Sus scrofa: one gene and its partners. The protein of the gene in region 1 purifies or fractionates together with the protein of each later gene. This does not show direct contact. Links are inferred from orthologs where the notes say so. Each region holds a gene or a part of one and is shown in the gene's direction. Other genes may lie near its edges. The genes, in order: DNAJA2, ENDOG, PLD2 and NUDC.

What was found.
Region 2: the proteins of DNAJA2 (region 1) and ENDOG purify together in Homo sapiens (affinity purification with mass spectrometry; 3 studies listed by BioGRID and IntAct, with this or other methods). This does not show direct contact. The link is inferred for Sus scrofa from reciprocal best matches to the Homo sapiens genes DNAJA2 and ENDOG.
Region 3: the proteins of DNAJA2 (region 1) and PLD2 purify together in Homo sapiens (affinity purification with mass spectrometry; 3 studies listed by BioGRID and IntAct, with this or other methods). This does not show direct contact. The link is inferred for Sus scrofa from reciprocal best matches to the Homo sapiens genes DNAJA2 and PLD2.
Region 4: the proteins of DNAJA2 (region 1) and NUDC purify together in Homo sapiens (affinity purification with mass spectrometry; 4 studies listed by BioGRID and IntAct, with this or other methods). This does not show direct contact. The link is inferred for Sus scrofa from reciprocal best matches to the Homo sapiens genes DNAJA2 and NUDC.

The regions. Positions count from the first base shown.
Region 1 is NC_010448.4:37,589,130-37,595,720, forward strand, and holds part of DNAJA2 (dnaJ homolog subfamily A member 2), read left to right. Parts: 5' UTR 1-2,917; coding exon 2,918-2,995; intron 2,996-4,481; coding exon 4,482-4,541; intron 4,542-4,860; coding exon 4,861-5,084; intron 5,085-6,591. UniProt on the Homo sapiens protein: Co-chaperone of Hsc70. Stimulates ATP hydrolysis and the folding of unfolded proteins mediated by HSPA1A/B (in vitro).
Region 2 is NC_010443.5:269,151,222-269,158,245, forward strand, and holds ENDOG (endonuclease G, mitochondrial), read left to right. Parts: upstream 1-2,733; 5' UTR 2,734-2,922; coding exon 2,923-3,429; intron 3,430-4,604; coding exon 4,605-4,714; intron 4,715-5,951; exon of another isoform or gene 5,952-6,220; coding exon 6,221-6,503; 3' UTR 6,504-6,568; downstream 6,569-7,024. UniProt on the Homo sapiens protein: Endonuclease that preferentially catalyzes the cleavage of double-stranded 5-hydroxymethylcytosine (5hmC)-modified DNA.
Region 3 is NC_010454.4:52,083,037-52,090,220, reverse strand, and holds the start of PLD2 (phospholipase D2), read left to right. Parts: upstream 1-2,416; 5' UTR 2,417-2,579; intron 2,580-3,103; 5' UTR 3,104-3,104; coding exon 3,105-3,213; intron 3,214-3,302; coding exon 3,303-3,433; intron 3,434-3,523; coding exon 3,524-3,666; intron 3,667-4,087; coding exon 4,088-4,193; intron 4,194-4,282; coding exon 4,283-4,348; intron 4,349-4,471; coding exon 4,472-4,530; intron 4,531-4,647; coding exon 4,648-4,740; intron 4,741-4,832; coding exon 4,833-4,985; intron 4,986-5,647; coding exon 5,648-5,797; intron 5,798-7,184.
Region 4 is NC_010448.4:84,236,171-84,243,510, forward strand, and holds the start of NUDC (nuclear migration protein nudC), read left to right. Parts: upstream 1-2,524; 5' UTR 2,525-2,632; coding exon 2,633-2,713; intron 2,714-5,096; coding exon 5,097-5,174; intron 5,175-7,340. UniProt on the Homo sapiens protein: Plays a role in neurogenesis and neuronal migration. Necessary for correct formation of mitotic spindles and chromosome separation during mitosis. Necessary for cytokinesis and cell proliferation.

The DNA.
Region 1 (6,591 bases):
TTCAGTTAGTTGTGAACAATAAGAATGGCCTTAAAAATATTACAGTTCATACACTCTCAATCCACCTCCTCCCCATTTCAACCACATACAGCTACACAAGTATACTAAATTAAAAAGAAAAAAAAAGAAATTGAACAATAATATAAGTATAGGAGAAATCTGAAATCACTCCAACTTCAAACTTTAAATCATTTGCCTAGCAAGAGCAGCCCACAGATGCACTGTGACTCAGCATTTTATGGTGCCTAAGACATGAAATGAGATAAAGGTCTCGTTCCTTCATGGCATTAGCTAAATCTGGAGCTAAAATAAATGAACTACCTTAAAAACACAAAGTCAGTGGCTGAAATGTTAGAGTGCTCACACTAACACTGACTCAATATATGATGACAGGGAGGAGAGCATGTGTCAGTTGAAGCACATAGAACTGTTCTGAAATAACTTCTCGACCTATAACATTAGCAAATGACAATGCTGACTACAATTAACACTCAGAAACAGAAAAAATATTGTAAATAAATGAAAACTATAAAAGTATGAACTGTGGTGACTGATTCAGAGTCAGGTAAAAAAATAACTTAGAGCAAAGGAGGGAATTTACCCAGGTATTCTTCACGAGAAAACAGAAGCTAAAATTGAACCAAGGGAAAACCCTTGCCAAAAAAAAAAAAAAAAAAAAAAAAATTAAGTAAAACTGAAACAAATAGAAAAGTTCAGTTCTTTTTGACTACGAACAAAAAGAAAATAAGATGAAAATAAAACAATAAATGATGTGAAGGTTGCAGTAAAAACAAAGTTTTCAGTTTATATTTTCATGTGGAGCAGGAACTGATGGAAGAAGAGAATATGGTAATTGGCAAGCAGGGAGAGCTGGATCACAAAAAAGGACTGAGGGGTAATCCACATGGAAGAAGTTGATGAATCCCACTTGGGGATCCAAGAATTTAAATAAAGATAATCACTAGAGATGTGGAGACAGCTTATAGGCAAATGGGCAAAAAAAAAAAACAGTTGGTTTTAGCTTGTTTTTAGTATTCTGCATGTAGTAACTTTTAATCCTCAAAGCCAGCCAATGATATAAATACTATTGAATCCCATTTTATAGGTGAGAAAACAGCTTCAGAAAAGTTTAGTAACTTGCTCAAGGTCACATTGATAATACATGGCAGAGCCAGGGCACCAGCCCACACACTCTAACTCCACCACAGCTTTATACTGCCTCTTATGAATGTTTCAAAATGTGAACAGGAAGTGGGGGAATTGAAATTATTGAGGCCTTTACTGAACTCAAAACTTTATACTGCCTTTTATGAACATCTCAAAATGTGAAAAGGAAGTGAACAAATTGAAATTATTGAGGCCTTTACTTTTCAAACCAGACCATTTGCATTCAAAAAACAGAAGAGTGAATTTTCCCTAAGGAACCTACAGCCTTTTAATGGAGTTCAGACTCACAGCAAAATACCATTCAAATCCTACATCAGATCTATCCACAAAAGACACTAGCCAAGGGTAGTGGGAACACAAATGAGACAGCAATGTTCACTAGGGTGTAGAATCAAGGAAAACTTCACTGAAAGAGCTGCATTTTCGATAGGATTTGACAAAAATGGGAGTTAGGTGAAAGGAGCATCATGACTTCACATCAATTACTCCCCGGGGTTTTCAGGATAAACTTCAACTCCTTGGCATGACATTCAAGGCCCTCCAAACGAGGTCTGGAGGAACGCCAAGGAGAAGGGATTATCCTAAACTAGATGCTAGATGCTTATGTTGGAGTCTTTATTACCAGTTCAGGTTCCAAAGGATCAGGACATCTTATTTCTTCTGCCTCCATAAATTGCTAGTGAGTTGAAGGCAGGTACTATGGTTCACTATTTTGCAACATTCCCCTCCCCCAGTCCAGGCGTCCATACATCTTAGCACGTGGTAGGTGCACAGCAAACATTTTCTGAGGCGAATATAAATCACGGGGACAATCACCAGATGACTGTGCGCCCAACCAGGCTGCCTGCTACCATCTAGATCTCTGGATAGTTAATTTTAAAGCTACCAAGTAAAAAATTTAAATACCTGATCCAGATACAATGGGTGGGAACTGTGGATCTAGATGCCACAAACCAATTATGACAGGACATGAGACAACTGCGAAAATCTAAACGTGGGCTAAGAATTAGACAAAGGAATTCATTGCATGTAGGTCATCTGTCGGACATATACTTGGTGTATTTATAAACGAAATGGTTTCCCGTAAGACACTGGAAGCAGGGAGTATAGGTGGTAACAGAGGAAACAAAATTGACAATAATACACTTCTTTTGGGGAATGTTTGAAAATACCCTAATATGAAACACACAGGGCACACACACACACACACACACACACACACACACACACACACACACGTGTTTTTCATCGTAAGACCAGAAGGAACCAGATCCAGAGGGTCCACCTGAAACATCTCGATTGTTAGGACGACCCCTGTGGGACGGACCAACTTTCCAACTTTACCGCCGTACTCGAAGCTGATCAAGGGGGCGGCCATGGACCGCATGGGCCTCTTCACCCTTCCAGCACCCCCTTAAACACCTTTGGAGAAAGCTGAAGTCCTGGAGATCGCCCAGCAGAATTAGTTCTCCGGGTTTTGAAGCCAGACCCCGCCCCGCGACTCAGAGCCTCTGAGGAAGCCAGAACCAAGCGGGGTTCCCTCGGCCCCCACGACCCCCACAACCGCCCGGGGCGGGCTCCGCGCAGTGACGTCACGGCGCGCCGTGCGTCGGGCCAAAGTTCAGCCCCGCCCCCTCGCTTCCCCCTCGCTGTCTCGCACCGCCTGCGCTGTCGCTGCCGCCGCTGTGGGCCCGGCTCCGCTCCGCCTGCTCCGCCGCCTTCCTCCCTGAGCGCTGCCCGGCCGGCCGCCATGGCGAACGTGGCCGACACGAAGCTGTACGACATCCTGGGCGTCCCGCCCGGCGCAAGCGAGAACGAGCTGAAAAAGGTACTGGGGAGCGGTCCGGCCAGGCAGGGCGTGAGGGGCGCAGGCCTGCTCCGCTGGGACAGCCAGGCCGCGCCGCGGGGCGGCCCGCGAGCCGGCGGCGGCGGGCCCAGGCTGGGGGCCGGCGACGAGACCGGCCTGCTGCGGCCGCGCACTCCGGCCTCAGCTGACCTTGGGCCGCGGGCCCCGCCCGCCCGCAGATGCAGCAAATAAAACCCACCCCTGCGCAAACACGACGAAAATGCTTCCTTCCTCCCTCCCCCGGCGGGCGCCGGAGGCCGGGCTCTCCCGGGAGGCTACTGCCTGCTTGGCTCTCCCCGCGCCGAGGTCACCACCCCGGAAAAACAGGTTGGACCGAGGCGCCCAGCGCATCTCGGCGCCGGGTGAGGAGTTGTCCAGGGTGCGGACGTCGGTGCCCGAGCCGATTCCGGGCAGATCTGGGGCCTGGCGGAGGGTCGAGGCCACCCCCGCTGGGTGTCTGCGGGTACTTGGGGCTGTTTCCTAGGAGCCGGTCCGCAGGATTTTTTTCCTCTCTTCCTGCTTTGCTCATTGGTCTGTGTCTGGGTGCTTTGTTCTGTGGACAGGTAACCTAAATGATCCGTACCTGCTTCAGGAAGAAGCCGTGGGTCCCAGCCAAACACCTAAGTGTATGCTGACTAAAAATAAACGGCAGGCCTCATTATCGTTCTTTGCAATGCTACGAGATCTTTCATCTCAGGATTTCAGAGCACGTGAGGCATTTGATTAAGCCGCACAGCATCTTCACGGGGTTTAGAGTATCCGGATTTGTAAGCTGAGAAAAATGAGAATGCTCCTTAGGCAGTGGGATGGGTACAGTTGAGAGTAAAAGGACTTCCTGTTACCTTACCGGAAATGCTATTCTGTATTACATAATTCATGTGTCTGTGAATGAACGCCTAAGTGCTTTATATCTCATGCCACCCAAATGTATGCAACTTAAGTAACACTGCGGTCAGTCCACCAGAGGAAAAGCATGACCTAGGAGCTTGTCTTGCCTTTGTCTTGATGTTACAATTAGAGGAGCCATTATGAGCCGGGATTCTTACCTTAGCTTAATTCTAATAATAATAATGTTTTGCAGGGTGTAAAGCTTAACAAGTACTTCTAGAGTTTATCGCAGTCTTCTTGGTCTGGTGACTGGCTGTCAAACACATTTGACAATAGTGAAAATAATGGAATTTTTCAGTACTTTGTTTTTCTCTGTGGCTTAGTTTGTTTGTCTCCAGCTTCATTATAACCTGTTTTCCAATATAACTATTCTGATTTGTTACATTTGAGTAAACAATATTGAGACCTTTCGGTGCCCAACCAATACCAATGAATAAAGGATGTTTTTAGAAGGTTATGATTTTGAACATTGCTTCTCAGAAAATTGGTTATGAAGTTAATACAAATCTTTAATCAGGTCTTTACATTATAACCGTTTTTTTGTTTTTTTGTGTTTTTTTTTTTTCAATCTTTTCTTCAGGCATACAGAAAGTTAGCCAAGGAATACCATCCTGATAAGAATCCAAATGCTGGTGACAAAGTAAGTCATTTGAGACTTTTTTCCCCTGAGGTTTCCCCTTAAAAAATTTTAAGCTTAAATTGCCCTTCTTGGAAAAAATGAGAATGTTGTAAGAAAAGTCCATCTATGCCCGTAGAGCCTAATTTTTTATGTTAAGAGTGCTTTGGTTTTATATTGGAAATAACTAACATTCTGGGCATCAGTAGGTAGTAAATAGGACCAGAATCAAACCAAAGGTAACGTGTAGCTTTTCTTGGAATTAAATAACTTCTAGATTTTTGTAGCCTTTCCTTAGTATTCTATTTGAAAAATCCAGTTGTTTTCCTCTTTTTCTTTATAGTTCAAAGAAATAAGTTTTGCATATGAAGTACTATCAAACCCTGAGAAGCGCGAGTTATATGACAGATATGGAGAACAAGGTCTTCGGGAAGGTAGCGGTGGAGGTGGTGGCATGGATGATATTTTCTCTCACATTTTTGGTGGGGGATTATTTGGCTTCATGGGCAATCAGAGCAGAAGTCGAAATGGCAGAAGAAAAGGAGAAGACATGATGCATCCACTCAAGTGAATATCTTTTTTCTTTTTTAAAAAAAAAATACTGATTGCTTTTTTTTTTTTTCCAAGTAGAAGAGAGAAAAGCTATCAAAAAATATTCTTTCCATCAGAAAAAAAATCTTCCATTTGGATGTTGGCACTTTGCTAACAGATCTTGAAGGGTGGTTGGTGTTTTTACAGAATAGGAAGACAGTTTTGGTATATGCTTCTGAGGCTGCTTGTTTTTAAAATTTCAGTTGTGAATTCTTTGAAGTATTTAAACTTTATATAAAAACTACAGAGTGAGGGACTGGCTGGCTAGTTAGTTGACATGTTACAGTCACTCATTACTTGATCCTCAGTGTGAACTCTCCTAAATTGGTTTCCACGGAGCTTGCTGGCTTCGAGCCCGATGTTAACCTGCCAACATATGAATGGTGTCTGTCCTTGATCTCAGACTGTGAACCCAATATGAAAATAACTGTTTTACTTTGCAAAATTTGTGACGTGTTTTATCTCATTAATTTTCATGAACCAGTAATGGTTTTAGGAGCAAATACCAGAGACTGAAGTTCAAGTGTTTTTAATAATAGTTTATCTAGTTTGTGCAGTTGAGTAGGTAAGAGGGAGTAAAACGTTATTTGTCAAACTTCTCCTTTTATTAATTACAGCATTTTCATTTTGGGTAGCTTTATAATATTTGGTACCATGATTTATTCATTCCCTTTTCTATAGAATGTTACCTGTTTTTCTCTATAATAAGTAGTGCTATATCTTTATATACAGCTTTGTCTCCTTGGTAGTGATTCTTGGGCAGGCCTTACTGTTTTGAGGCTGATAAATGCAACTAAATTGCCTTGTAGAGGATTGTGCCCGTTGAGCCTCACTGGTGGAGAGTGCCAGCTTCGCTAGACCATTACCCACATTTTTCTTTCCTTTGCTGTGTTTACTGAAATGAAGATTTTTCTGGCCTCTTGATAGTAGTGTTGCATATACTAATCGAAATGTAACATGTAAAGGAGAAAAGACTTACCTATCATATAAATGGTTGGTTAAAGGTTTTAGGAGGAATATAAAAGGCATATGCAACCAAGTGCTTTGGTCTAAGATCTATATATACCATTGTTTGGAAGTTCTGCTATTGTTTTGACCCCTAAATGTTTTATTCTTAAACTGCCTACAATGTATAAAAGAGTTAGCTTAATGTAACAATTTTGAGAAAGTTCAAATACCACAAAGCAAGTGCTACAGTACTTACACTGGCAGCATATGGAAGTTGCTGGGCTAGTGGTCAAATTGGAGAGACAGGCCTACACCAGAGCCACTGCAACACTGGATCTGAGCTGCATCTGTGATCTGCGCCAAAGCTTGTGGCAACACAGATCCTTAACCCACTGAGCAAGGCCAAGGATGGAACCTGCGTTCTAATGGAGACTATGTTGGGTTCTGAACCCTCTGAGACACAGTGGGAACCTGACAGTTTTAACAGGCTTTTTAACTTGACCTTTTTGGAGGTCATAGACTTCTTTTGAAAATT
Region 2 (7,024 bases), on another chromosome or scaffold:
AACCTAGTACCCTCCTCGTTTAAGGAGGCAGGTGGTTTGTGCCTGGAAGGCTGGGTCATGTAGCATGGGGCCTCTTCATCTCAGACTGGCCAGCAGGGGCCCCCAGCCACCCCCCCCCCATGCCTTCCTGAGTCATGGCCAGGATTTGTGGATGGTGGCCAGGAACAGCTTCCCCAGGCAGCTCCTGTCCAAACTGTCTCTTGGATGCTTGTAGGACTTCATGCACTTGCCTTTATGCCTTCTCCTCTTCCAACAAGGTATTTGAGAGATTTTTGCTATTTATTCAGATTCCTAGTTATTTATTGCGATTGGCAAGTGCTCGATTTGATGAAGGGTGGGGCTGGAAGGGTAGAAACAAGTTGGGGTCAGGGTCTTCCACTCTTCCCGCCTCTGGGACCTGCCTGATTTTCCAGGAGGTCCTGGCTGGGAGGACTCTGTGAGAGGACTAGGTGTGAGGGAGACAACAGCTGGGATCCTTGCCAGAGCCCAAGACCCCGGCTCGGGGCAGAGACACGGCTGCCCAGCAGCCTGGCTCACCCTTTTCCCAGAACTTGTTGCTGGTGGTTCAGCCCCAACTTGATCCCTTCACAGCCTGGGGCCCAGCAGACACTGCCCAGGACACCTGATGCATTCCCTCTTGCCCGTCCCTCTGCCTTCCCTCCCGGGGCCCTACTACTTGAATCACTGCATCTAATTTGTCTAAGCGGCAGGACCTGGGTCCCCTGCCCTGTCTTTGATCTTGTGATGAAGGTCAGAAGAGCACAGGGACCATGTCCAGTTTAGGCTGAGCTCCCCAGTGGGATACTGCCCAAGGGAAAAAACTGCCCTTGGCAATTCCCCCTCCCTAGACTCAAGGGAGGTCCCCAGAGAGCCAGAGACCCCCGGGCTTCCTGCTCGGGAAGCTGCCCCCAGGACTTTGGATACTTACAGAATGGCTGTTTGAGTTCAGCTGGTCTCACTCCAAGGGTTAGAATGTTAGTCTGCTTTTGTTTTTTCATTTGTTTTGTTCTTTGAATCAGTGCTGTTGATGACAAGTTGTCTTTAATAAATCATGTGTTCTTTGCAGTGGGCGTTGGTTCTGGGATGGGCTGGAAACCTTTGAGACCTTGGAGCTGGAAAAAACAGTTGAGCAGGGATGACGTCAAGAGGCTTTCAGAGGAGTTCCCATCGTGGCACAGGGGAAACAAATCCGACTAGGAACCATGAGGTTGCGGGTTCAATCCCTGGCCTCGCTCAGTGGGTTAAGGATCCAGCATTGCCGTGAGCTGTGGTGTAGGTTGCAGACGCGGCTCAGATCTGGCGTTGCTGTGGCAGTGGCGCAGGTCAGCGGCAACAGCTCTGACTAGACCCCTAGCCTGGGAACCTCCACATGTCATGGGTGTGGCCCTAAAAAGACAAACAAAAACAAAAAAAGCCTTTAGAGTAGGCAGAAGAAAAGGCTAGGAAATTTTTGTTGGAAGAGCATGAGCCACTCTTCTTTAATAACTGCAGTTTGTAGCTGGGGGAGAGGAGGCTGTACTGGGGCAGAAGGTGTTATGTTGTGATCGTAGCAAGTTACTTATCTGTTAATTTGCCGAAACCTTCGGCATGCGGAAGTTCCTGGGCCAGGGGTTGAACCTGCACTACAGCAGCAATCAAGTCTTTGATAACCCGTAGTCTGGAGAAAATCACTGATAACATGTTAGTCTTCTTCCCAGAGGTAGATTTTTGTGTGTAATTGTCACCTTCCTCATTTTCTTGTGTATTGTCTCACCCCTCAGGTTAGGTGCTGAGCAAGTTGCTGTATGATTTTAAAATATTTTAATGCACTATATACTATTTTAATATGCTAAAAATGTCTGAAACCAGTTCCTATGTCTGACTATTTTGCTTATTCCCCAGCCTCTATTATGAGTAGTACTGTGGGGAGTGTTCATGTTTGAAATCATTGCATTCGAGGTTTATTCCCCCAGCTCAGTCCTCTAAGTGAGTTAGAAGGTATGAACCTTTTTACGGTTTTCATGCAGACTGCCAAGCTGCCTTCCGGAATCCAGCCAGCAGTTTGTAATACCACCTGCATGCATCGCGGTCCTCACGCTGGGTGTTAAAATCTTTGCTGGAGTTCCCGTCGTGGCGCAGCGGTTAACGAATCCGACTAGGAACCATGAGGTTGCGGGTTCGATCCCTGCCCCTGCTCAGTGGGTTAACGATCCGGCGTTGCCGTGAGCTGTGGTGTAGGTTGCAGACGCGGCTCGGATCCCGCGTTGCTGTGGCTCCGGCGTAGGCCAGCGGCTACAGCTCCGATTAGACCCCTAGCCTGGGAACGTCCATATGCCAAGGAAGTGGCCCAAGAAAAATAGCAAAAAGACAAAAAAAAAAAAAAAAAAAAAAATCTTTGCTAATCTCCTAGAAATTTTTTGCCTTATCTTACGATGTAATGGTTAGGAGCATAGACTCCAGTGTCGTTCAGACCTGGAGTCTTGTCCTTGTTCTCCCTCGGCGCTCTTGATTAAATCGAGTCATAATACAGGCAGTGTAGACTAGTGCTTGACAGGTCTCTGGAGCTCTTGAAGTAGGACCTCGGCACTGACGCAGAAGAGGTGGGGCGGGGCGGAGCCAGCCCTGGAGCGGCCAGTCACGAGTCGAAGCGGCGATGCCACGCCCTCTCAGGGCTCCCTCTTAAAAGGGCAAAAGGCACGGGGAGGTCCCGTAGGGCCGCTCCAGACCCCCACTGTTGGAGTCCTTTGCACTTTGGGGCGGGCTTTGAGTGGGCGGGGCCTACGTTCCGCCGTCCAGTGCCTCCACCCGGCGCAGTCCCCGCGGTGGGCCCCGAAGGCCTGCGCGGCTCCTTTAAGAACTCGCGGGTCTGACGCCGGAGGTCGCGGCGTTCTTTCGGAGCTGCGGGCCGAGTGCCCTCCACAGCTCAGGCCAGAATCCACGGCCATGAAGTTACTGCGGGCGGGTTTAACCCTAGCGCTGGGCGCCGGGCTGGGTGCAGCCGCCGAGGGCTGGCGGCGGCAGCGGTGGGACGCACGGGAGGCGCCCGGTTTGCTAAGCCGGCTCCCCGTGCTGCCCGTGGCGGCGGCGGCCGGGCTTCCCGCCGTGCCCGGGGCCCCGGCGGGCGGCGGGCCCGGCGAGCTCGCCAAGTACGGGCTGCCTGGGGTAGCGCAGCTGAAGAGCCGCGAGTCTTATGTGCTGTGTTACGACCCGCGCACCCGCGGCGCCGTGTGGGTGGTCGAGCAGCTGCGGCCCGAGCGGCTCCGAGGCGACGGCGACCGCCGCTCTTGTGACTTCCATGAGGACGACTCAGTGCATGCGTACCACCGCGCCACCAACGCCGACTACCGCGGCAGCGGCTTCGACCGCGGCCACCTCGCCGCCGCCGCCAACCACCGCTGGAGCCAGAGGGCCATGGACGACACCTTCTACCTAAGCAACGTCGCGCCCCAGGTAGCGCCTGGGCCCCTCGCCCCTGCGGCGGAAGGCGAGGCCACCCACTGCGCGCCTTCGAGCCTCAGGCTCTCTGCAAAGCGGGAAAGCTGCCGAGGGTGCGCCTAGGTCAGGCGCCTGGCGAGTCACACCGCGCCGCAGGCGGGAGGGACCGAGGGATGGGGCGCTGAGCATCCACTCTGCACTCTGATCTTAACCCCCGGGGGCCTCCCAGATCTTCAGTTTCCTTGTCTGTAAAATGGGGATAAAACGGTTACTCACCTACCCCTTGCAGTAGCGCTGAGGAACTGAAAACACCATTCAGGTACAGAAAAGTACTGAGCACGCTTCCTGGCCCATGGCAAGCGGTCAGTACCAGCTATCATGAGGAAAGCGAGTCTCAGACACCGAGTGACCGGCCCAGTGTCACATGAGGGAGGAGACCCAGGCAGTCTGTCTAGAGGAACCTGAGCTTTCATCCATTGTCCTATCTGCCTTCCTTCCAGGAGTGACAGCAAAGATCCCTGCAGGCACTGGGTGTTCGTAACAGTCACTGTGCACCCTGGACTAGCTGCCCACCTCTAGCCGTGTTCCCATCCTGGCCTGACACGCATGTGAGGACGGATGTCAGGCTCTGATGAAGCTGTAGGGTCAGCTGTAGCCTCTGACCTGACTTGTGACCTCTCAGGAGCACTGTGCCCTCCCGGTTTGATTAGACACTGTCTGAGGACCAGAGGGTTCAGGTTCTGGAGCAGACTCATGACCTTCCCGGCTGGGCTCTGCCTGTGGATCAGTTGAGGGAAAAGGCAAGGAGAGGTGCCCAGAGAGCTGGTCTTCCCATGAGGCCCTGGGGGCGGGGCCGGCCTATTTCTGGAAGATCTGCCCCTTTCCTTCATATGGCTCTTTGGAGCCAAGAGACATTTGTGAGTCCTGGGATGCTTGTTCGGCCCTTCTAGATGGGGTTATGCTGGCAACCCCTCGAGCTCTACCTGGGCTCCACCCTCATGACCATGTGGCCCAGGTGTCTTTCCATCCATGAATCTGTTTCCTCTGCTTGTCCTCACCTCTCCCCTGCCCCCCCCACCCTGGAATCTTCTGGCTTGGTGCCAATGCCCCACCCTCAGGGCCTGGAGCAGCCCTCTGACAGCCTTGCAAGTGTCCCGGCCAGTCTCACTGAGGCCCACCTCTCCTGCCAGGTGCCACACCTCAACCAGAATGCCTGGAACAACCTGGAAAAGTACAGCCGCAGCCTGACCCGCACCTATCAAAATGTCTATGTCTGCACAGGGCCGCTCTTCCTGCCCAGGTAAGGTTAGACCTGGGGACACCAGCACTGCCCACTCATCCCTTCCTGATGCCCCCAGGCTTTTTATCCACACCACCAGGTCTCGTGGAGTTCCCGCTGTGGCACAGTGAGTTAGGACTGACTGCAGTGGCTTGGGTTGCTGTGGAGGCACAGGTTCAATCCCCAGCCCAGTGCAGGGGGTTAAAGGATCTGTGTTGGGAGTTCCCATTGTCACTCAGCAGGTTCCAAACCGACTAGTATCCATGAAGATGTGGGTTCAATTCCTGGCCTCACTCAGTGGGTTAAGGATCTGGTGTGGCTGTGGCATAGGCCGGCAGCTACAGCTACAAGTTGACCCCTAGCCTGGGAACCTCCATAGGCTGCAGGTGCAGCCCTAAAGAAATCATTTGGCTTCTCAGCATGTCTGCCCCTCCCTGCCTCAGGCCCTCCCAGTTGTACTCCAAGGTCGGAGGCCAAACCCACCTACCCACCTAGACCCCGTGTCCTCTGCCCCTGGGCACCAGGCCCCAAATCTGCCCCTGCTCCTTTCTGGGTCTTCAGTGGTCCCATCCACTCAACTGTGTCCTGCCCAGACTGAAACCCTTGCGAGAGGCGCTCACCTTCACTCTCCTCTGCTTGGAGCAACCCCCCCCCCGCCCCTCGCTTCCCCTGGAGCCCGGCTTTGAACTCCATGTCCCTAACCCTTGTCCCCCCACAGCCCAGCCTCCCCCAGGTAGAAGGGACCAAGCTCCTCTGGGCTCGCTCGGTGACTTTTCTGGCCTGCTGAGGGCTTGGGACCAGTGAGGCGAGAGGTTGTGGCCAAGCAGCTGGCTGTGCCTGGGATGGACTCTGGGCCCTGCCACCTGGTCTCTGGGTGCCCTGGACAGGTGACCTCCACCTTCTCTCCTGTAAGATGGGGATAATGCCTGCTACCTACATAGCAGGTGTTTAAGGGACAAAGTGGGTGTCACCCACTTTAAGGGAGGGAGGATGCCACCTCAGGAAGGCTCACCGTGGGCTTGCTGAGGCGGTGGCTGGGGCACAGATCCTCTTTAATGAGCCAGGGCCTCCCCTGGTCCATGGTCATGGAGCAGACTCTGGGGAGGGTCAGCCTGAAGTTGCCCATCCCACATTCCGGGCACCTGTCATGCCCCAGGCCTCTGCTGGTGCCAGGGATTCAGCCGTCACAGCTCTGCTCCCTTGGCGCTCACTCGCCACCAGAAGAGACGGTCAATCATCAGGTGTCCACACGGATGAATGTGGATGTTTCTTTCTGCAGTGTTTATTGTCACCACACACTCTGGCTGACCCAGTGCTGGGTGTGAGGGAAGCAGGAGAAGAAGCACGTCTACCCAGCAGGAAGCACCCAGCCTCCTGGGGGAGCCAAGCCCGGGGCCAAGAAGCCTCACTCTGTAGGGGCGGTCCTGCAGGTCCAGTCAGGGAAGGCTTCCTGGAGGTGGAGGCCCTTGGTCAGACCAAGCTCCCTGGGAGCGCTGAAAGGCCATGTATGTCTGGGTCTGCCCACAGGACAGAGGCTGACGGGAAGTCCTATGTGAAGTACCAGGTCATTGGCAAGAACCACGTGGCGGTGCCCACCCACTTCTTCAAGGTGCTGATCCTGGAGGCAGCAGGCGGGCAGATCGAACTCCGCTCCTATGTGATGCCCAACGCGCCCGTGGATGAGGCCATCCCGCTGGAGCGCTTCCTGGTGCCCATCGAGAGCATCGAGCGGGCCTCGGGGCTGCTCTTTGTGCCGAATATCCTGGCCCGGACGAGCAGCCTTAAGGCCATCACTGCCGGCAGCAAATAAGGGCCGCCCCAGCCAGACTGTGGGGTCCTGGGGACCAGGTTGAATGAAAGGTATTTATTTTTGGAGACAAGTCTTAGCTGTGTCTGTTCCGGGTGACCTGTGGGACCCTCTGGCTCCACTGCTGCTCCCTGGCCATCCTGGGCCCGACAGAACCTTCAGCTGGGCCGGGCACCTGCCTGGGTGAGGCCAGGCTGCAGGGCGGCCAGGGAGATGAGGATGGCTTCCTGGAAGAGAAGTGCAGCAACAGGCTGGCGCCTGGGAGGCTCCCGGGTGTCCCGGCTCCCAGGCCCCAGCCCCTTGGGGCGTGGGGCCCTCAGTGGGGCCTGGCTTTGTCTGGCAGATCTGTTGCTGGCCACTGCAGGCCCTGCCAGGAAAGGGCCTCACCTCTCTGCTCCTCAGTCTCCTCATCTGTAAAATGGGGCTGATCATCACAATACCTTCCCCCCTGGGGTCTGGAGACGGGGGAGGCAACGGGCAGGAGGACCCTCTGTGTAGCTGTCAAGGGGGGGAGCAGGGCTTCC
Region 3 (7,184 bases), on another chromosome or scaffold:
TGTTTTTGTTGTTTTAAATCAGTGAGAGTTCCCATCCAAAATATATAAATAACTCTGACAATAATAAGACAAATAATGTTTTTGTTGTTGTTTTAAATCAGTGAGAGTTCTCATCATGGTGCAACAGAAGCGAATCTGACTAGTATCCATGAGGATTCAATTTCAATCCCTAGCCTCAATCAGTGGCTTGAGGATCTAGCATTGTCGTGAAACGTGCTGCAGGTCCCAGACTCGGCTCGGATCCCGTGTTGCTGTGGCTATGGCATAGGCTGACAGTTGCAGCTCTGATTCGACCCCTAGCCTGGGAACTTACATATGTTGAGGGTGCGGCCCTAAAAAGCAAAAAAAAAAAAAAAATCGGGGCAAGAATTGAACACTTAACAAAAGAGATACAAATGGTCAATAAGCACCCAAAACATGGTCAATCATTAATCAGGGAAACACTAACTACAACGAGGTACTATTTTACACTAATTAGCATGGGTAACACTAAAAAGATTAAAAATATCAAATATTGATCATGCAGCCTAACAGCTGGAACCAGCATACATAGATTCTGGAAACTTAAAACAAAACAACCATTTGAAAAACAGTTTGGCAATCCCCCCATTTTAAAATATTTCATTTATTTGAAAAGTTATTTTCTTTTGGAGTTCTTTTGTGACACAGCAGGTTAAGGATCTGGCATTGTCATTGCAGGGGCTTGGGTAACTTCGTGGTGTGGGTTCGACCCCTGGCTCAGGAACTTCCACAGGCCACTGAGGGCATGTCTTTTATGCCTTTTCTAGGGCTGTTCCCTCGGCACATGGAAGTTCCCAGGCTAAGGGTCTAATCAGAGCTGTAGTGGCCAGCCTATGCCACAGCCACAGCAATGCCACATCTGAGCTGCATCTTCGACCTACACCACAGCTCACTGCAATGCCGGATTCTTACCCCACAAGCAGGGCCAGAGATCGAACCTGCAACCTCATGGTTCCCAGTCAGATTCGTTAACCACTGTGCCACAATGGGAACTCCAAAAAAAAGTGCTTATTTATTTATTTATTTTGTCTTTTTGCTATTTCTTGGGCCGCTCCCGCGGCATACGATGATTCCCAGGCTACGGGTCGAATCGGAGCTGTAGCCACCGCCCTATGCCAGAGCCACAGCAACTCGGGATCCGAGCCGCATCTGCGACCTACACCACAGTTCACGGCAATGCCAGATCCTTAACCCACTGAGCAAGGGCAGGGACCGAACCCGCAACCTCATGGTTCCTAGTCGGATTCGTTAACCACTGCGCCACGACAGGAACTCCAAAAAGTGCTTTTTAATGGCGACTTAAAAATAGCCCTGGAGTTCCTAGTTGTGGCTCAGTGGTAACAAACCCAACTAGTATCCATGGGGACTCAGGTTCAATCCCTGGCCCCCTCTCAGTGGGTTAAGGATCCAGCATTGCCATGAGCTGCAGCAAAGGTCACAGACCTGGCTCAGATCCTGTGTTGCTGCAGCTGTGGTGTAGGCCCACAGCAACAGTTCTGATTAGACCCCCAGCCTGGGAACTTCCACATGTCATGGGTACAGCCCTAGAAAAAAAAAAAAATAGTCTTCGTTTGACACTTTCTTCACTGTCTCTATATTTTAAATGTGTACAATTAGGAATCAAATGAGTTTCGCCATTTCTTAAAAAGTTAAAATACAATTACATGACCCAGCAACTCCTCTCCTAGCTATTTACCCAAGAGAAATGAAGACATATCTACACAAAGACTTACCCAGGAATGTTTATAACAGCTGTAGTCATATAGACAAAAACTAGATACAACCCAAATGTCTATCAAGAAATATCCATCAACCCATTCCTCCATCCAGAAGAGATAAATCTACTTTTTAAAAAATGAAATATTTTGTCTTTTGTAACCTGAAAAATAGCCTGTTTTCCTGTTTGCTCTTCGGTAAGTTCCAGAAGAGCAGGTGCTGTGATAGTCTTGTTCACTATTGTACGCCCAGTGTCTGGCGCAGAGCAAGCGTGCAATAAGGAATGAATGAAAGAAAACTTGGGTACGTTAATGAACTAGTGGCCACCAGTCCTCAAGGCTTCCATCATTCCTTCCATCTGCAAATGCCAGCTGGGCCGGCCCGGGCATTTCTCCGGTCGCTTCTGCAAAGTGAGTCCGGCCAGAGGCCCAGGCGGGATGGGCGGCCGGAGGGGACCCCGGGGGCCCGCGCCCGCGCGGAGGAGGGTGCGCAGCGCCGAGCGCCCACAGGGCTGCGGCCCGGCACGTGCAGATCGACGGCGCGGGACAGCCGGGTGGACAGAGCCGCGCGGATGCTCGGAGCCTGCTGCGCGATCCCGAGGCGCAGAGGGCGGCCCCCAGTCCCCGGTAGCGCGCAAGGACGCCGGGGCGGGCCGAGGGCGGCGGGGGCGGGACAGGCCGGACGAGAATCCCGCGGAGGTGAGGCCGGAGGCCGGCCCGCCCCCGGGGGCAGGCCCTGAGCGCCCGCCCCGCCCCGGCCCGCTGGGGTGTGGGTTCCCGCTCCGGCTCTGCACCGCTCCCTCTGCTTGCGAAGCCGCGCCCTCGCCGGCTCCGGCTGCCCGGGTGAGGGGACCTGGGAGGGGGCGCCGCGGAGGTCCCGGGCCCGGGAAACAGGGCGGGAACGGGAGTGGGTCCTGGCTTCGGGGCCTCCGGACTCAGCCCCATGCTCAGATTTCGGGGTTTCCCTCCCGGGCGGGGACGCGTAACTTCCTCATTCCCGCCTGGACCCCTTCTTCCAGCTGGCTTGGCCTGGCTGGAATCCCGGCGGTTCCGGGCCCTTTGCAACCCCCGGGGTCCCTCCCCTGGCTTCTGCTGTGCCTTCCTTCGGGGCCTGGCCGGGTGTTCCTCGGCACGCTGGTTAGGGGACTGGAGGCGGAGCTCAGGGATTCTGGATGAAGGATCGAGATAAGGGATGGAGATTAGATGCGTTGCAGACCGATGGGCCATTATCAGGGAGAGGATGGGTGTCAGCGGGAGCCGGGTGGGGGGAAATGAGGGACCGACGGGAGACGGAGGACCGTGAGATGGGATGGGAGACAGGGTTCTGCAGAGCAGATCGCCTTCCCGAAGCTTCCCCGTATTCCTAGGATGGCGGCGACCCCCGAGAGCCTCTTCCCGTCTGGGGATGACCTGGACTCGAGCCAGTTACAGATGGAGCGGGATGAGATGGACACTCTGAGGGAGGGAGAGGACCCAGGTACACCCCGACGACAGCCCCGGAGGAGAGGAGGAGGAGGGCGCTGAGACCTCCTGGGGTCCACATTCTTCTGCTTTCTTTCCTGCCAGCTGACCGGATGCACCCCTTTCTGGCCATCTACGACCTCCAGCCCCTGAAAATGCACCCCCTGGTGTTTGCCCCTGGGGTCCCTGTCATAGCCCAGGTGGTGGGCACTGAAAGATACACCAGTGGATCCAAGGTGGCTGGAGGGGGCAGGGGAGGGCTGGTCGGAGTGGGGGGCTGCCACCCATCCAGGGAATGAGCATTCAGTTCCTCACCCCCCCCCCAGGTGGGAACCTGCACCCTCTATTCTGTCCGCTTGACTCACGGCGACTTTACCTGGACAACCAAGAAGAAGTTCCGTCATTTTCAAGAGCTGCATCGGGACCTCCTGAGACACAAAGTCTTGATGAGTCTGCTCCCACTGGCTCGGTGAGGGGGGACCAGACTGCCTCCTGGGAAGGGCAGGTGCCCCTCACCTCGGGCAGCCCGGGCTGCCAGCCCCCAGCCCCCGTCACTGCCTTCTGCCTGCCTCATCCCCAGGCCACAACCATTTTTTTTCCCCAGCTACTTTCCTCCCCCACCTCTGGCCCCTGGGTCCCCTCCTTTGACCCGGGTCACCAGGAAACCTTCCCTGTTCAGCTCACCCTGTCCATGGTTCTGGGCCAACATCCCAGCTGGGCTGGATGCCCGAAATGCCCTTGGCAGCCTCCTGAACCTTTTTCTGCCTCCCTTCTCAGGGTAGGGGGCATTCCTTCTGCCGGCCTCTAGGCCTCCCCCTGAACCCCCTCTCCAGGGCTTCAGGGACCCAGGCACCCAGCTCCCCACTCTCATCGCGCCATCCTTTCCACAGCTTTGCCGTTGCCTATTCTCCAGACCGAGAGGTGGCTGCCAGAGAGATGCCCTCTTTACCCCGAGCAGGTCCTGAGGGCTCCACCAGACATGCATCCAGCAAACAGGTGGGACTGGACAGGAGGTCCTCTGGGAAGGCGTTTGGGGTGCAAATGGTCCTGGTCCCATCCGTCTCTGTCTCCCATCCCTACTTCAGAAATACCTGGAGAATTACCTCAACTGCCTCCTGACCATGTCTTTCTACCGCAACTACCACGCCATGGTGAGGTCCAGGGGCTGGGGGGCTGGGTCTTTTGAGATGGCACGGGATGACGGGGACCAGGGTCGGTTGGGTTTGAGGGGCTGACGATGAGTGTCTCCTCCGAGCCTTTTTCTTCCGCTGCAGACAGAGTTTCTGGAAGTCAGCCAGCTGTCCTTTATCCCAGACCTTGGATCCAAAGGACTGTGAGTCTGACACCCCTTCCCCAGCCGCCTCTGGATGGATCCCTCCTGGCCTGAGAATAGGGTAGACTGGGGGTCTGGATCCCCCCATTCAGCATCTCTTCCGGGTCTTCCCCGCAGGGAGGGGGTGATCCGGAAGCGCTCAGGCGGCCACCGCGTTCCTGGCCTCACCTGCTGTGGCCGAGACCAAGTTTGTTACCGCTGGTCCAAGAGGTGAGGCCTGAGCAGAGCAGCTGGGCCGTGGGTGGGGGTGGTGGAAGGGGTCCCAAGAACACGGAGGAATGGTCGGAGCTCTTCCGCTCCAGGTGGCTGGTGGTGAAGGACTCCTTCCTGCTGTACATGTGCCTCGAGACCGGCGCCATCTCCTTTGTTCAGCTCTTCGACCCTGGCTTTGAGGTGCAGGTGGGGAAAAGGAGCACGGAGGCACGGCACGGGGTCCGGATCGATACCTCTCACAGGTATGGCCCCCCCTGGTGTGGACAGAAACCTGCTGAGTGAAGAGCCAGCCTGGGGCCCTAAGGCCATGATTCGGAACCAGAGAAAGGTTCTAGCTGGACACTCAGGACTGCTCCTAGAGGCTGGACCCAGAGAAAGGGGGTTCAGTGTAAGCTTGCAGGAGGGACTCTTGGTGTAAAAGAAAGGGCACTCGGGGAGTTTCCATTGTGGCTCAGCCAGTTACGAACCCGAACCCGACTGGCATCCATGAGGATGAGTGTTCGATCCCTGGCCTCACTTAGTGGGTTAAGCATCCGGGGTTGCCGTGAGCTACAGTGTAGGTCACAGACGTGGCTCAGATCTGGCATTGCTGTGGCTGTGGTGTAGGCTGGTGGCCTTCAAAAGCTTAAAAAAAAAAAGAGAGAGAGAGAGAGAGCGGAAAAAAAAGAAACAAAGAAAGAAAGGGCACTCCCTTCCTTCATTTATTCATTCACCAAACCTGAGTGGCTGGCACAAAATTAAGTGCCAGAGACCCAGCTGGGAATACGGCAGATCTATGCCCTGTTCCTGTGGAGTCAGGCAGGGACTAAGGGAGGAGGTGGGGAAGAGGTAATAGCTAAAGGGGGGATTGGGGGCCTGGCCAGAGCCATGGAGGGTGAGGGTTGTGGTCCGTCTCATTGTCCAGGTCCCTGATTCTCAAGTGCAGTAGCTACCGGCAGGCACGGTGGTGGGCCCAGGAGATCACTGAGCTGGCCCAGGGCCCCGGCAGAGACTTCATCCAGCTACACCGACATGAGAGCTACGCTCCACCCCGGCCTGGGACCCTGGCCCGGTGGTGAGACACTGACATCCTTTCTGAACTTCTCTGTGGCCTTTTGGAGCCCTTTGGTGTTCTCTGAGTCCTGGATCCTTTTTATCTCCTGTAACCCCTTCTGACCTGAATAACCTTCCCCTTTGACTTCTCAAATCTCCCTGACCCCTGACCTCTTTAACCACGCTGACCTTTCTGAACCCCACCCTTGGTCATCTCTGACCTCTCTGACCTCCTGTGACCTTTTTTTAAAAAATTACTTTTATTATCTTTATTGTTGTACAGCCAGCATCACAACCCAATTTTAGACCACTTGCATCACAAACCCCCAGTCCAGCCCTCCCTTCCCCTCATCTGTCCACTTTGATAACCATAAGTTTTTCAAAGTCTTTGAGTCTGTTTCTGTTCTGCAAATAAATTCGTTTGTATCCTTTTGTTAGATTCCACATATAAGTGATAATCATATGATGTTTGTCTTTCACTGTCTGACTAACTTCAGTTAGTTGACAATTTCTAGGTCCATCCATGTTGGCTGTAAACACCATTATTTCATTATTTTTTATGGCTGAGTAATATTTCATTGTATATATGTACCACATCTTCTTTATCCACTCCTCTGGTGATGATGGACATTTAGGTTGCTTCCATGTCTTGGCTATTGTGACTAGTGCTGCAGTGAACATGGGGGTGGATATATCTTTTCAAGTCATGATTTTCTCCAGATAGATGCCCAGGAGTGAGATTGCTGGATCATATGGTAGTTCTTTTTTTTTTTTTTTTTTTTGTCTTTTTAGGGCTGCACCCATGGCATATGGAAGTTCCCAGGCTAAGGGTCTAATTGGAACTGTAGCTGCCAGCCTACACCACAGCCACAGCAACACCAGATCTGAGCCGCTTCTGACACCCACACCACAGCTCATGGCAACACCAGACCCCTAACCCACTGAGCGAGGCCAGAGATTGAACCCGCAACCTCATCGTTCCTAGTCGGATTTGTTTCCACTGCACCACGCGGGGAATTGAGTTCTATTTTAGTTTTTTGAGGAAGCTTCACACTGTCTTCCATAGCAGTTGCATCAATTTACGTTCCCACCAACAGTATAAGAGGGTTCCCTTTTCTCTAAACCCTCTCCAGCCTTTATTGTTTGTAGCTTTTTTTCGTTTTTTTTTTTTTTTTTTTTTTTCTTTTTTTAGGGCCGCATCCACAGCGCATGGAAGTTCCAGTCAAGGGGTTGAATTGGAGCCACAGCTGCCAGCCTACTTCACAGCGTACGGCAATGCTGGATCCTTAACTACGGAGTGAGGCCAGGGATTGAACCTGCAACATCATGGTTACTAGTTGGATTCGTTTACGCAGCGCCACGTTGGGAACTCCCTATTGTTTGTAGACTTTTTTGATGATGGCCATTCT
Region 4 (7,340 bases), about 47 Mb from region 1:
AACTTTTTTTCTTTTTTTTCATTTTAGGGCTGCACCCACGACATATGGACGTGCCCGGGCCAGTAACCCAAACCGCTGCAGCTGGATTCTTAACCCACTGTGCCACAGTGGGAACTCCCCATTTTAACCATTTTTAAGTTTATAGTTCAGTGGCATTAAATACATTCACATTGATGTGCCATCATTTCCACCATCCATTCACCAGCCTTGGATGAGTTTTGGAATATCTGTTAATTATCCAAGTGGAGTTGTCCAGGGGCGCTGTCCAGGAGGTAGGTAAAGAGATGGTCCTGGCACTCAGGAAATGTCTGGGTGAGGTACCATGAGTATAAATAGAGAGGAAAAGAGGAGAGGGTAAAGGACAGAGCCCCCAACATTTATAAACCTGGGTAGATCAGAACACGGAGAAGGAGAGTTAGTGAAGTGGGAAGAAAACCATGTAAGTGTGAGGACGTGCAAACTCTGTCAGTCTGCTAGGGCTGCCATAACAAACTATTACAGACTGACTTGACAACAGTAGTTAATTTTATTACAGTTCTCCAAACCTGGAAGTCCAAGATCAAGATGTTGGCAGGTTTGCTTTCCTCTGAGGCTTCTCTTTTTGGCTTGCACATAGCTGCCTCACGTGGCCTTTCCTCCGCTTGCTCGTGAGTCCCTGGGTTTTCTTTCTCTTCTAGTAAGGACACTAACTATTTTGGATTAGGGCCACATCTGTATGAATTAACTCTAATTACATGTTTAAATACCCCTATTTCCAAAAAACAGTCACACTGGGAGTAAGGGTTTCTTCTTAATTTTTTTTTTTTTTTTTTTGGCTCTTTAGGGCAGAATTGTGGCACATGGAGGTTTCAGGCTAGGGGTCGAATCTGAGCTGTAGCCACCGGCCTAGGCCATAGCTACAGCAACTCCGGATCAGAACCTCATCTGGGACCTATACCACAGCTCATGGCAATACTGGATCCTTAACCCACTGAGTGAGGCCAGGGATCAAACCTGCGTCTTCACAGAAACTAGTCAGATTTGTTTCTGCTGAGCCGCGGTGGGAATTCCAAAGAGAGTTAGGGTTTCAATATAAGAATAATGGAGGAATACAGTTCCATCCATAACAGAAGACTAGGGAAAAAATTGTTTCTAGAAGGAAGAAGAGGTCAACTGTGTCAAATGCAGCTGAGAAGCTGAGCACTGTAATAGTGCTTTACTGGTTTTGGCAATAAGTAGGTCATTGTATCCTTGGTCAGAGTCTTAAGTAAAGACCAGAGTAAATCGAGGAGAGACGGAAGGTGAGGAAGTGGAGAAACAAGTATAGCAAATTTTTTTCAAGTTTTGCTGTCAAAGAGATTTTAAAATTGGGATAGGAGTTCCCATCGAAGCTCAGTGCTTAACGAATCTGACTAGGAACCATGAGGTTGCGGGTTCGATCCCTGGCCTTGCTCAGTGGGTTAAGGATCCGGTGTTGCAGTGAGCTGTGGCGTGGGTCGCAGATGCAGCTTGGATCTTGCGATGCTGTAGCTCTGGCGTAGGACGGTGGCTATAGCTCTGATTGGACTCCATGTGCCGCAGGAACGGCTCAAGAAAAGGCAAAAAGACAAAAAATAAAATAAAATAAAAAATAAAAAAATAAAATTGGAATGGTAGGAGGAGAAAAGTTTGTGTGGGGGGGTCATAGAAGAATAAAAAAAGAAGTGGCATTAAAGTATATTTGTAAGTTAAAAGGGATGATCCAGAAGAAAGAAAATTGTGATGCAGATTCATTGAGTAGGGAAAAAAAAAAATTCTGATGCAGGAGAATTAGGAAAGGATAGTAAGAGTAGAATCCCTGAAAAGACTAAGATGATGAAATTCAATACAAAAGTAGAGGGTTTGGCCTTAGATGGCTGGGGTCTGTCCCGCACAAAAGTGAAGTTCGAATTTAGCACTCATTACATAATTTGCATGAAACTGCGCAAAATGACAATGCGGGGTTGGGGGTGGGGCTCTTGTTAAAAAATATTAAGAGTCTCAGGACTGCAGCAGAAGAGCATTAACCCCAGCACCAAGGGACTTTCTAAGTCCGGGTCCCCTGCGACTGCACAATTTGTATGGAGTATGTGATGACAACAGGGGTAGGCTGTCTTTTGGGGCAAGTTCCCTTCTCCTTTCTGGGCCTCAGTTGGCCGATGGAAAACTTGGAAGAGATGATTAAGAACGCTTTACCGTTCTACAAGCTCAGCGGTCACTCTCAAGGCGTAAATTCAAAGTTTGTGCTTTTTCAACTTTCAGGCCCGCGTGATTTGAGCCCAGGGTTTTCTGGAAGGCTCCAAAAGGTTCCTGGTGACCATAGCAACTCACACCAAACTCAGAGGCCTTCGACTCCGCCCACCGCTCACGGACGCGCTCTTTGATTGGCTCAGCAAGTCGACCAATGGTCAGTGAAGCGGGCTGCTTGCCGCACGGTCAATGGCCGCTGGCCACAAGGGAGGCGGGAGGAGAGAGCAGGCGGGCGGGCCAAGGCAGCGGGGCGCGTGCGTGTTTCCGTCTCCGCTGCGGAAGGCGGAGGACTGAAACCGTTGCACCGGACGCGACCCGAAGGCGCCGAGAGCGCGGGACGCGAGAGCAGAGCTCAGATTTCGGAGCGTGGCTAGCAGCTGGCAAGATGGGTGGAGACCAGGAGGAGGATCGTTTCGACGGCATGTTGTTGGCGATGGCGCAGCAGCACGAGGGAGGCGTGCAGGAGGTAACGACCCGCTCGGCATTGGCTTGGCCTGGCCCACCCAGGCGGCCCAGCCACTCTCTTTCCTCCCTTCGCTGCCTTCGAGAGACGAGATCCACCCCTGGGCCTTGCGGGCTTTAGGATCCCGCATTCTCATTGCACCCCAGCTTCTAGTCTGGCCTCCCCGCCGCAAGTCTTGCGCTCGGACCAGTTCTGGATCCCTGGGGCCCCTCAGTAGTTACCATCTTAACAGCTCTGGCATCCCTTTATCTGCCCCTGGGAAGGCCCGAGTCTTGGAATCCCTTCCCCCTCTTTAGTCTCCAACCTGCTTCCGGCCCTTTTCCCCTCTGGTGGCCGCCCCCAAAGAACATCCTTTAGGATGTTCTAGGCATTGAGATTTGCATGTACCAAGACTTGGGGCGAGCGGAAGAATGTATGCGATGTGTGGGGGTGGGGGGGGTGATATTAACACGTGGTCTTTCTAGATCTTGAATGAGAGAATAGGAGGCGTGTTTTGCATTTCCTAACAACTTGGACTGTTTCATGTCTCCAAGCTTCAGTTTCTTTCTTTGAGACAGAGCTACGAATCCTTACTTCCTGAATTTGTAGGAGAGTAGTGTCTTGAAGTGAAGGACAGTGAAGAATTCTCGGTAATCAGACTCGAACATTCAACAAGTGTTTGTTGAGTAATTGATGTGTGCAAGAACATAATTCATGCTTAGTGACCAAACCCAATAACATGTGTAGGAAAAGGATAAGGACCAACTAGTAAAGATTCTGGAGTTGGTTTTTTGGACGATGGAAAGTTAAACGTAGCAAAACCTATCAAGATTAGTCTTTCTTTAAAGAAACTGAAGGAGCTTGCCCAAGCTCATCCAACAGGCTCCTGGCTTAGAGGGGACCAGAATCCTTAGGCCAGTGTGTGCTTTCCACAGTCCATTGTTGATTCTGTGTCTCATTGGAGCCTTCCATTCCCATTCTCATTCAGGTCCCTGTGGGAAGAGTGCTACTAATTTGCAGATGTGAAAGTCTCCCTTCTCCTACCCCCCTAAATTGTTGTTGCACCTGGATTTGGAAGTGAGTTCATTTTTGAGTGAATTGAAAAAGTGTCCAGAAGCAGGAATTGAAACTGTTGAGATAAATTCTAGCGTCAGATTTAGAACCTCTCACTTGGGCAAATAAAAGGGCTTATTTATATGTGCCAACCCTCAGTCATCACTAGATCTTTTTGCTCAGCAAAAGTTTTCTGAGCATGCACTCTGAGCCAGGTCTGGTGCCAGGCCTTGGGGATGTACACAGAGTCATGGTTCATGGTGCCTACTTGTGAGGAGCTCTCTCTGTGGCCGAGGTTCTTTAGCCAGACGCTATTAAGGACCTCACCTGCATGTCTTCCTTTGGTCCTCTCAAGGATCCTCACGTGTATCCCTAGAAATTGGTCCTGCTGCTATTTCTGTTTCATAGAGTTAAGACACTGTCCCCAGGTCACAGAGCTAATGTATATCAATCTAATGGCCAAAACGATGCTCTTTTTTTTTTTCCTTTTTAGGGCCACACCCATGGCATATGGAAGTTCACAGGCTAGGGTTTGAATCAGAGCTGCAGCTGCCAGCCTATGCCACAGTCATAGCAACGCCAGATCCAAGCCATGTCTGTGACCTGCACCACAGCCCACTGCAACGCTCGATCTTTACCCCACTGAGCAAGGCCAGGGATCGAACCCATGTCCTCATGAATATTAGTTGCGTTCATAAGCACTGAGCCACAACGGGAACTCCCAAACCGACGCACTTAACAACTTGACTGCACTGATGCACCCAGCCAGAGTTAGCTGGTTTTGGAGTTCCCTGGTGGCCTGGTGGTTATGGATCCAGTGTTGTCCATGCTGTGGCTTGATTTTGATCCCTGGCCCCAGGAGCTTCTGTAGCTAACCTCCCTCCTCCCCTCAAAGAAAAAAACACCAGAGTTAGTGGGTCTTAACCTTCTTTGAAGTGGCCTTCTTTGTTCTCTCCTTCCAGCTCTGCCCTAGTAACTCAGCCAGCGCCACTCTGGATGGGCTTTTTGCTACATGGAGAGGAAAGCTAGGCCCCAGGCATTTCAAACCTGGATGCAGTGCCCCATATCCTCAGGCTGCTTCTAGCATCACAAAAAATGTGAAATACACATATGCATATACACAAGAAATGAGAATTCTCCCTTTCTGTTGCTCTAGATCAGGTTAGGTTAGGCTTCCTGGCAGAAGTAACTAAGGCAGGGCTGTTGGGGGGGATGTTTTCCCAGTTGGGAGGCTCAGGGTTGAAATGGTCCAGTCCCAAGTTCCTTCCTAGGTGAAGGAGGTTGCTTGTGTGTGGTTAAGGGGCTCCCTGTATGGCACCTCTACAGCTTCAGTCTTTTGCCTTCTGTCTTTCAGCTTGTGAACACTTTCTTCAGCTTCCTTCGTCGCAAAACAGACTTTTTTGTTGGAGGAGAAGAGGGGATGGCAGAGAAGGTGAGTGTTGGCGAGCTTACCTGGCCTTCCTTTGGCATAATAATAACCTTTCGCAGAAGTTAACACGCCAAGGGCAAGAGTTGGGGAAGGAAAGCATTTACTGTCATTTATTGAAGTCCCTTTCCTTGCCAAGTGCTTTATCTACCCTGCTTTCCATGGTCCTTTAGCAGTTTGAGAGGGGCAGCTGTTACTATCTCCGTTTACAAAGGAGAACGTTGCTCCGAGTTATGAGAGACAGGTTGGAACCAGAGTCTGTTGTAAAACTGCCTTCTGGCCCTGGCATCACGCTTCTTGGTTTCTTTTCTACTGTGGAGGTTTTATCTAATTACCTAGCTGGGAGATGAGAGCAGGCAAATGTAAAACACTGAGCTTAGAAAAACAGATGTCGGAAAAATCAAAACCTACCAATCCTAGTCTTGCCAGATGCTTGTGACCCAAAGTTCAAGGATTTGAGAATTGCAGGGGGTTTTTTTGTTTTTGTTTTTTTTAACCGAAGTCTAGTTGATTTATAATGTTGTGTTCGTTTCAGGTATACGGTAAAGTGATTTGGGTTTTGTGTGTGTGTGTGTGTGTGTGTGTGTGTGTGTGACAGTGAAGAAGTGATGGGTGTTAGGGCACAAGTTCTGGGAGCATAAAATGGGGGCTCCAGGAAAACTTCCTGAGGAAGAGGTGCCTGCGGTACGAAGGCTGAGTAAGACAGCAGGCAGAAGGGAGAGAGGTGAACAATATCCAGACGTTACATCTCAGAAGTATCCCAGGGATGACGGTAGCTGCCACGTATTGGATGTTTGCTGGTCCCTCTTAGACCCTCCCTGCTGTGCTCCTTAGAGTCACCTCTTCCCCAGGAGGTTGGTCAGACCCTCAGGCAGGCAGAATCCTGTCCACCCTTCTCACCTGGTCTCCAGTGGTAACACGCTAACACCTTTATGTTGAGCACCTACTGTGCGCAGGGCTGCCAGATAACATCACTTTCAAGTCCTTGGGTTAAGAGCTCGGCTCTGGAGCTAGGTGTCCCCTCTCCCTGCTTGGCAGCTGTGTAGCGTTGGGTGAATCACTTCCCGATTCACTTGGTTTTCTATAAGACAGGGATGCTCTTTCCCTCACGGAGCTGTTGTGAGGATATAAGGAGGTAATATAGTGTGGCTGGCATATGCGAATACAAGTTCACAGTCCCTTTTTCAGACCTCTTGGGGTCAGGAGCATTTTGAGACATAGAATTCTTTGGCTCTTTGGAGGCCATACGGAGTATATACTGTCCATCACATGCAGGACCCCAGTCTGGGGGTCAGGAGCGGCATCCTGGAATGAAACTTGAATATTTCCGCAGAGAAATATGTATCAATATTTATACCATGTGGGAGATAATGAAGACTGTAAATATCTTCACGCTACAAACTTAGAGAAATACAAACGCACATTTAGTTTTTATAGTCTGGGGCTAGGAATTATGGATTGGAATAAAGTCATAATGATCACATCAGTATGTTACTGACAGAGAAAAGACAAATGGACTAACGAAGCAGAATAGAGAACCCAAAAAGGTCTTGCACGTATGAGGATTTAAGATGGGTCCAGTAAGGTAATTCAGTTCAGTAGGCAAAGGATGATTTAATAAGTTGTGCTGCTACTACTGGCTATTTATCTATAAAAAATGTAGCATCTGTTTTACTCATATCTAAAAATATATTGCAGCTCAAAAGAACCTCTTGAGGAAAGCTAGGAAACTAAGTATAGTCTTCTGTGGAGGAGGCCTGGCAAGGATAGAAATCTGGAAGCTATATGGAGTTCCTGTCGTAGTGCAGTGGTTAATGAATCCGACTAGGAACCGTGAGGTTGTGGGTTCGATCCCTGACCTTGCTCAGTGGGTTAAGGATCTGGGATTGCTGTGGCTCTGGCGTAGGCCGGTGGCTACGGCTCCGATTTGACCCCTAGCCTGGGAATCTCCATATGCTGTGGGAGTGGCTCAAGAAAAGGCAAAAAGACCAAAAAAAAGAAAAAAAAAATCTGGAAGCTGAAGGAGAAAAGGTAGCTGTTGGCCTCTTCAAACACAGGAAATGTGTAGCCAAAGAGACTTAATGACATCTAAAGTCTATTGAAAAGAAGTAGATTTGGGAAAAAAAAGTGCAATGGAGAGGACAGATAAAATTTAATAGCCAATTCAATATG